Macaca fascicularis: one gene and its partner. The protein of the gene in region 2 binds, or shares a complex with, the protein of the main gene of each other region. Links are inferred from orthologs where the notes say so. Each region holds a gene or a part of one and is shown on either strand. Other genes may lie near its edges. The genes, in order: EIF3L and EIF3D.

Region 1 (4,468 bases), about 1.4 Mb from region 2:
CTCAGCGCTTTGGGAGGTTGAGGTGGGTGGATCACTTCAGGTCAGGAGTTTGACACCAGCCTGGCCAACATGATGAAATTCTCTCTCTACTAAAAATACAAAAAAAAGTAGCTAGGCGTGGTGGCACATGCCTGTAGTCCCAGCTACTCGGGAAGCTGAGGCTGGAGAATCACTTGAACCCGGGAGGCAGACGTAGCAGTGAGCCGAGATCTTGCCACTGCACTCCAGCCTGGGCAACATATGACACTCCGTCTCAAAAAATAATAAACAAACACATAAATAAAATAAAGTCTAACAAAATAAAATGTCCCTAGCCACAAGGACTCACAAAGACCACCCCCCCAAGCACTGTTTACAAAGTGCTCGCCCCATTTGTAGGAACTGTAATACCAGGCCAGTCCCACCCAGAAAGAGGGCCTTTCAGCCAGTAGTCCATACCTGTTCTCATAGATGTCCTGGATCTCATACACTTTCTGGTCAATGACATCGCTGGAGACACGACTGGCCTGTAGCTCATACACTTTCTGGTCAATCAAATCTGAGACAGTTTTGTGGAAATACTGGATGAAGTTTTTGATCACCTCAGGGATCACCTGATAGGTTTGCTGTTCATACTGACGTTCATAAGCAAGGTCCTGCTTTGGATCTCCTGGAGGTTGGATAAAACAAACACAGAGTGCTTTCAAACCCACATACATGATAGAACAAAATGGCAAGACCGCCCCAGAAACTAAACTCAGGTCTGAGTAAAATTCCCTTTTGAACACTCAGAGATACAAACATCTCAACTCACTCCCAATCTCATTGTCCCTGTTTCTTCAAAAATATTACCACGACTTAAAGTTATTTTTCACTTATTATCTGTTTTGCACCCTTCTCCCAAGTCTAGGAAGTCGGAATCTTGTCTGTCTTGTACTCAGATGTACCCTCAGGGCCTAGAAAAGTATGAGTTAGAGGGGAGAGAGGCAAGACTGTTGGAATGTAAGTGGTAACAGGTATTTAATATTTCTTGAATGAATAACTGTCACCTTCTAAATATATGACTTGTGGCAAGTTAGTATTAAATCTCTGTGCTATATTTTCTCTTCTTTTTTTGGTTTTTTTTTTGAGACAGTCTCACTTTGTCCCCCAGGCTGGAGTGCAGTGGCATAATCTCCGCTCACTGCAAGTTCCCGCCTCCTGGGTTCAAGCCATTCTCCTGCCTCAGCCTCCTGAGTAGCTGAGACTACAGGCGTCTGCCACCATGTCCGGGTAATTTTTTTTTTTTTTTTTTGTATTTTTAGTAGAGACGGGGTTTCACCGTGTTAGCCAGGATGGTCTAGATCTCCTGACCTCGTGATCTGCTCATCTCCGCCTCCCAAAGTGCTGAGATGACAGGCGTGAGCCACCACGCCCGGCCTATTTTCTCTTCTTTAGGAGACAACAGTAATGTACAGAACCACTGTAAGAATTAAACAAAATATTGCATACAACGTACTTAGAACAATGGATAACACTGACTACTAAGTCCAGTCACTATAACATTTCAGGAAACCTCCCAAAAGATTTCATCTGGGCTTGGTTTGAATTAAATTTTTCACATCAAGATTTTCTTCTTTGGGCCAGGTGCAGTGGCTCACGCCTGTAATCCCAGCACTTTGGGAGGCTGGGGCGGGTGGATCACCTGAGGTCAGGAGTTTGAGACTAGTCTGGACAACACGGCGAAATCTCGTCTCTACTAAAAAAAAAGTAAAAAATTAGCCGGGAATGGTGGTGGGTGCCTGTAATCCTAGCTACTTGGGAGGCTGAGACAAGAGAACTGCTTGAATCCGGGAGGCGGAGGTTGCAATGAGCAGAGATCGCATCACTACACTCCAGCCCCGGGGAGGAAAGAGGGAGACTCCATCTCAAAAAAAAAAAGTTTTCTTCTTTGGCTAATAGTTTACACAAGAAAACCATAGCCCGGTAAGTAATCTTTCTCTTCCAAGACTGAGGTGGACTATGATAAAAAGCCTGGTTTATTAGGCTTTATACAACCCCACGCACCAGCAGGTAATGACTGACTCCAAACCTGGACCACCAAAGAGCAATTTTTAACAGGTGCCTGTCAGAGCTGGTTCTAAGACATTGCAAAGGAACTGATCCCTACGAGTACTCAGCCAGCCTAAGCCGTGGTCTCACCTGTGTGCATATCATAGTCGCTCGGATAAGCGTAGGGGTCATAAGCCGCCTAGAAGGAAAGAGACAGTCAGTAAAGTCGCCAACTCGTGAATTCAAAACGCTCATCCTAGAGTCTAGATGCCAAGCAGAGAGCTAAGGATACAGAGGCGGATAAGACACTGTGCCTGGCCGGGCGCGGTGGCTCAAGCCTGTAATCCCAGCACTTTGGGAGGCCGAGACGGGCGGATCACGAGGTCAGGAGATCGAAACCATCCTGGCTAACACGGTGAAACCCCGTCTCTATTAAGAAATACAAAAAAACTAGCCGGGCGAGGTGGCGGGCGCCTGTAGTCCCAGCTACTCGGGAGGCTGAGGCCGGAGAATGGCGTGAACCCGGGAGGCGGAGCTTGCAGTGAGCTGAGATCCGGCCACTGCACTCCAGCCTGGGCGACAGAGCGAGACTCCGTCTCAAAAAAAAAAAAAAAAAAAAGACACTGTGCCTGCCTTTGAGGAACTCACACGCCTTAGAGAAAAGCGACAGTAAACAGACAATGACAATACATTACGGGTGCAAAGGACAAGAGGCTGTGGGAATCAGCGAGATTTGACCTGACGGAGCCCACACCAAAATAACTCAGGGGCAGAAACACAGAAATGTCTAACAAGCCTTGGTCTCCGGTCTTAGAAAGGGGAAGGACAAGGGAACCGGACACGCGAAATGGGCGGGCAGAGCCAGGGTTGTCTAGGGGCCGGGAACAGAGGGAGCAGCCTGAGGGCCGCGCGGCAGGTAGGCCGGAGCTGGCCGCGGCCCAGAAGCTGCCTCGCGCCGGGACCCACATCCAGAGGTCCCACAGATCTCCCCGGCGTGAAGTTCACCGCGCGCTTAGGGCCACCTTACCTCCGACTCATAATCATCAGCAGGATACGACATGGCTACCGGGCTCACAAGCACCGCCGGAAAGACCGAAACGAGCGGCCCGCGCCTGCGTCCTTAGGCCGGAAGTTCGGCCCCCCTCGGGCCTGCCGGGAAACCGGAAGCCTTTCCGAGGCCGCTGGCCATCTGAGACAGCCATATCAAGAAGGAAGAGGTTCCGGGCTCGGTGGCTCACGCCTGTAATCTCAGCACTTTGGGAGGTCGAGGCGGGCGGATCACCTGAGGCTGAGGTCGGGGGTTCGAGACCAGCCTGACCAATGTGGAGAAATCCCGTCTCTACTAAAAATACATAATTAGCCGGGCGTGGTGGCGCATGCCTGTAATCCCACCTACTCGGGAGGCTGAAGTAGGAGAGTTGCTTGAACCCGGGAGGCGGAGGTTGCGGTGAGCCGAGATCGCGCCATTGCACTCCAGCCTGGGCAACAGGAGCGAAAACTCCGTCTAAAAATAATAATAAGAGGGTTACAAGTAGCCTGAATTTTCTTTTCTTCAAATAGAGGCTTCTCAAAGAAGGTGAATCTGTGATACTAGTGTAGATTCAGATATAAAGACACGTATTTGGGGTAAAGGAGGGGCAAAGTTACAGAAACCAGAAAGAATGCCACACAAAAGATGGCCGGCTTCTCGCGTGAAGGGAGATTCGGATACGGGGACCTGATGGATTTAGTTGTAAGCGGTTTGCCTGCAGTGAGTAAATTATTAAAACGTTCGGACTTAACAAGACTAAACTTACTGGGGATAAAAGTTGAGATTTGGCCGGGCGCGATGGCTCATGACTGTAATCTCAACACTTTGGGAGGCTGAGGCGGGTGGATCACCTGAGGTCAGGAGTTCGAGACCAGCCTGGCCAAAATGTCGTAAACCCCGTCTCTAGTAAAAATACAAAAATTAGCCGAGAGTGGTAGCGTCCGCCTGTAATCCCAGCTATCCAGGAGGCTGAAGCAGGAGAATCGGTGGAACCCGAGAGGCAGAGACTGTAATGAGCCAAGATCGTGCCACTGCACTCCAGCCTGGGCGACACAGCAAGACTCAGTCTTAAAAAAAAAAAAAAAAATTGAGATTTGGTCCTATGCAGTAAGAGGGCATGGGAAACAGGAGCCACCCAACTTTGGACATTAAAGTTGGAGTAGGCAAAGACGAGGCCAGCTGTGTCGCGAAGCCTGGGACAGGGGCAGCTCTTGAGTACACCGGGTTCGAGTCTGGGGGAAACCGTCAAAGTAGAGATGGGGTTATAAAACAAACCAATAAAAACCAGTGTATGAGTCAAGGAGGGACCTTAGTTCCACCACTGATTTCTTGTGTGACCAGGACTCTCTGGGTCCCTTTGTCACGCTGCCCTCCTCGCTTTTCCCACTGAGGCACACTCCACCTCTGGGATTTTGCACTCACTGTTAT
Region 2 (3,809 bases):
TACACGGGGAGGGGAGGGCCAACCTCCCTACCCAGACCCTTCCTTTCACAAGATCAGCTGCCAGTTCCCGCACAGGCCTCTCACCCAAGCTTGAGGTATTCAGATCCAGCCAGCAAAGCACAGCAGGTCCACCGGGCCAACTTGTAGCTGTTGTTCTTCAGCTCCGTGGCAATGACGGCCCCTCGCTGAGAGTCCAGCTTCTGACGCCAGTCAACGCCGTTACAGTGCTGCAGGAGAGCCCCGTTAGAGAAGCAGAAGCAAGCTCTAAATGCCCAAGGTGCTGGGACCTCCTCTGGCAGAGAAGGAACTCCCCAGTCTGCCTGCTTAGAAAGTGGGTAGGTATGCACTAAATCTTACCATTTAAGAGACAAAGACACGCTCCCTTCCCTTGCACAGCCTGCCGCAAGCTGGCACTCAATGACTTACAGCTCTTCTCTTCTAAAAGCTCACCTAGCCAGGGAATGATGGACATGGACACACACACACACACACTTTAAACAGCAGAGGCAAGTGTCTACTGTGTGTTGCATGGTAAGGAAGGGCTTCACAGAGGATGTGTAACAGTGAGCCAAGTGGAGAATATTGGCACAAGTGCAGGTACAGACAGGAGCTCCTGATCTGAGAGGCATGGTGGGATAGGAAAGACAGGCGGAGTTGGCCTTAGATGGGGGTGGAAGCCTGCAGTGGGGGCAAAGCTGAGTCTGACATTTTACATAAATGCACACAGCAGAAAAGGACCCCAAAGAGATCCTCTTTTCTACCCATATCATTTACAGACGTGGGAAGATGGACCCAGAGTGAAATGACTGGTCAAAGGTCACATGACAGAGGTTCCCAAACTTTCTTGGTTCATGGCAACCACAGGGCAAAAGAAATACTCAGGAATTCCTTTTTTTTTTTTTTTTTTTTTTTTTGAGAAGGAGTTTTGCTCTTGTCGCCCAGGCTGGAGTGCAGTGGCGTGATCTCAGCTCACCACAACCTCCACCTCCCAGGTTCAAGCGATTCTCCTACCTCAGCCTCCCTAGTAGCTGGGATTACAGGTGCCCGCCACCACGTCCAGCTAATTTTTATATTTTTGGTAGAGGGGGGGTTTCGCCACGTTGGCCAGGCTGCTCTCGAACTCCTGACCTCAGGTGATCCGCCCGCTTCGGCCTCCCAGAGTGCTAGGATTACAGGCGTGAGCCACAGTGGCTGGCCAGTAATTCCTTTTATTTAGTTAGGTTCAAACCATGTAGTAGTATTCCGACAAGACGTCTCTGGTGTTTCCCTAAAAAATTTAAGCTATCCTGCAGCACCGCTGTGCGTTTGCTTTTTTTGAGATGGGGGGTCTCACTATGTTGCCCAAGCTGGTGAGTTCAGGATTTGAACTCCTGAACCCAAGCGATCCTCCCATCTCAGCCTCCTGAGCAGCTGGGATTACAGGTGCGCACTACTGTGTGCAGCTTGCTGGGGCACGTTAGAGTCCTTCTCCCAGTCTGCACTGCTGATGAAGCTGTGTATTGGCTTGGTATCAGCGAAATCCAGGACTGAGTCAGAAGACAGCAAAGCCTTCTATTTTGCTAATAGCAAATGTAAAAAAGGAGTTGGAGATATTAGAGGCTCAGAGCTTAGGTGGGAGAAAGACAATGCTGAGGGACAGCTGGCCCAGAGGCAATGACAGGACGGGGGGCACACGGAAGGGGAAGGTGTTTTAGCAGAAAAACAATGGGAAGTGTAATAAATCAGAGTAGATTTGAGAAATCATTTTCAAAGAGTTCATGGTTGAGGCCTGGGGTGGGCAGAATTCTAAGATGATCCCCAGTGACCCTTGCCCTTGCAGAGTCTCCTCCCCTTGACTGCAGGCAGAACCTATGGCTAGGATCAAATATCACCCCCATGATTATGCTACCTTGTATGTCAAAAGGGATTTTGCAGATGTAAGGCCCCCAATCAGTTAACCTTAATATACACTACCTGGGGCTGGGCCTCACCCAACCATATGAGTCTCTCAAATCTAGGTGTAGAGATCAGAGACAGAGGAAGTCAGAAATTTGAAGCACGAGAAGGATCTGCTGTGCTGTTGCTAGCTTGGAGATGGAGGGGGCCATGTGACAAGGAATGCAGGTGGCCTCTAGGAGCTGAGAGAGGCTCCCAGCTGACAGCTGGCAGGGGGATGGGGGCCTCTGTCATCTAACTGCAGGGAAATGAACTCTACCCACAATGAAAATGGGCTTGGAAATGGCTTTCAGAACCTCCAGATGAGAACTCAGTCCTGTTTCTATTGACACTGTGATTTCTGCCTTGTTTGGATTTGTGTCCCACCCAAATCACATGTCAAGTGGTAAACCCCAATGTTGGAGGAGGAGCATGGTGGGAGGTGACTGGATCATGGGGGTGGATTTTCCCCTTTGGCGCTATTCTTGTGATACAGAGTTCTCAAGAGATCTGGTTGTTTAAAAGTGTATAGCAACTTCCCCCTCTCTTTCTCCTACTCTGGCCATGTCAGATGTGCCTGCTTCTCCTTTGCTTTCTGCCACCATTGCAAGTTTCCTGAGGCCTCCTCAGTCACGCTTCCTGTAGAGCCTGCAGAACTGTGAGCCAATTATATCTCCCTTCTTTAGAAATTACCCACTCTCAGGCATTTCTTTGCAGCAGTGCGAGAATGGACCAATACAAAGACCAAGCACACAGCACTGGACTTCTAACCTACAAAAATGTGAGCTAATAAATCAATATTGTTAGGCTGGGTGCCATGGCTCATGCCTGTAATCCCAGCACTTTGGGAGGCCGAGGCAGGCGGATCGCCTGAGGCCAGGAGTTCGAGACCAGTCTAACCAACATGGAGAAACCCCGTCTCTACTAAAAATACAAAATTAGCTGGGCGTGGTGGCGCATGCCTGTAATCCCAGCTACTCGGGAGGCTGAGGCAGGAGAATCGTTTGAACCCTGGAGGCAGAGGTTGCGGTGAGCCGAGATCGCCCCATTGCACTCCAGCCTAGACAACAAGAGCAAAACTCTGTCTCAAAAAATAAAAAATAAAAAATAAAAATAAAATATATTAATCGGTATTGTTAAGTCACTAAGTTTCTGTTAATTTGTTATGGAGCAAAAGATAACTAACACAAAGTTGTATAATAAAGAAGTACGTGTGGCGAAGAGAGCTGTCTAGGTGACTCCATGGGTCAAAAAGGAGGGGAGCCAGCAAAGACAACATGTGAAGGGAACAGGGAAATGGGTGAGACCAGAGTAACGCGGTAACACAGAGGGCAAAGCAACACAGGTGCAACGACCCCGAATGCTTTGGGGAGCTCACCGGGAAAAGTCCAAGAAAAGGCCACTGGCCCCAGAGGGAGGTCACAGCAAGCCTCCCAGTGTGCTCCTCCAACAGGTGATGTGGGTGGGGGTGGGGTGGAAATGGAAAGTGGAGGAAAAGTGAAGGAAGCATGTTTCTTTCAAGGTGCCTCTGAAGCATCAATTCCAAGCCAGATCGTAGAATCCATGAGTTCAGGAAATGAGGAATTGGAAAAAAGGTATGAAAAGACTGAAGGCAGTGGCTCAGTCAATGAAAGAAGAGGTCAAAAAGAAGAGCGGCCAGACTTACAGGAAACTGCCAACCCAGATAATAAGGAGAGGAAAAAATCAGATGCTCAGAGAGCAGAAGCCAACAGGAGGCCACAATGGAACAGAGATGAAGTACTGGAAGAAGGGAGTTAAATGGTTCCTGTGTAAATAATAAGCAGAAAAGTCCTTAACACTTAACATAGTTCTACACACACAGTCATGCTCTTTCTCGGCAAGGAACTAAGCAGAGGAAAAAACTCACAAGACAA

What was found.
Region 1: EIF3D (region 2) and EIF3L share a complex: the UniProt entries of both Homo sapiens proteins name them as parts of the eukaryotic translation initiation factor 3 (eIF-3) complex. The link is inferred for Macaca fascicularis from reciprocal best matches to the Homo sapiens genes EIF3D and EIF3L.

The regions. Positions count from the first base shown.
Region 1 is NC_088384.1:13,770,559-13,775,026, forward strand, and holds the start of EIF3L (eukaryotic translation initiation factor 3 subunit L), read right to left. Parts: upstream 3,102-4,468; 5' UTR 3,071-3,101; coding exon 3,038-3,070; intron 2,210-3,037; coding exon 2,161-2,209; intron 650-2,160; coding exon 439-649; intron 1-438. UniProt on the Homo sapiens protein: Component of the eukaryotic translation initiation factor 3 (eIF-3) complex, which is required for several steps in the initiation of protein synthesis.
Region 2 is NC_088384.1:15,146,916-15,150,724, reverse strand, and holds part of EIF3D (eukaryotic translation initiation factor 3 subunit D), read right to left. Parts: intron 228-3,809; coding exon 85-227; intron 1-84. UniProt on the Homo sapiens protein: mRNA cap-binding component of the eukaryotic translation initiation factor 3 (eIF-3) complex, a complex required for several steps in the initiation of protein synthesis of a specialized repertoire of mRNAs.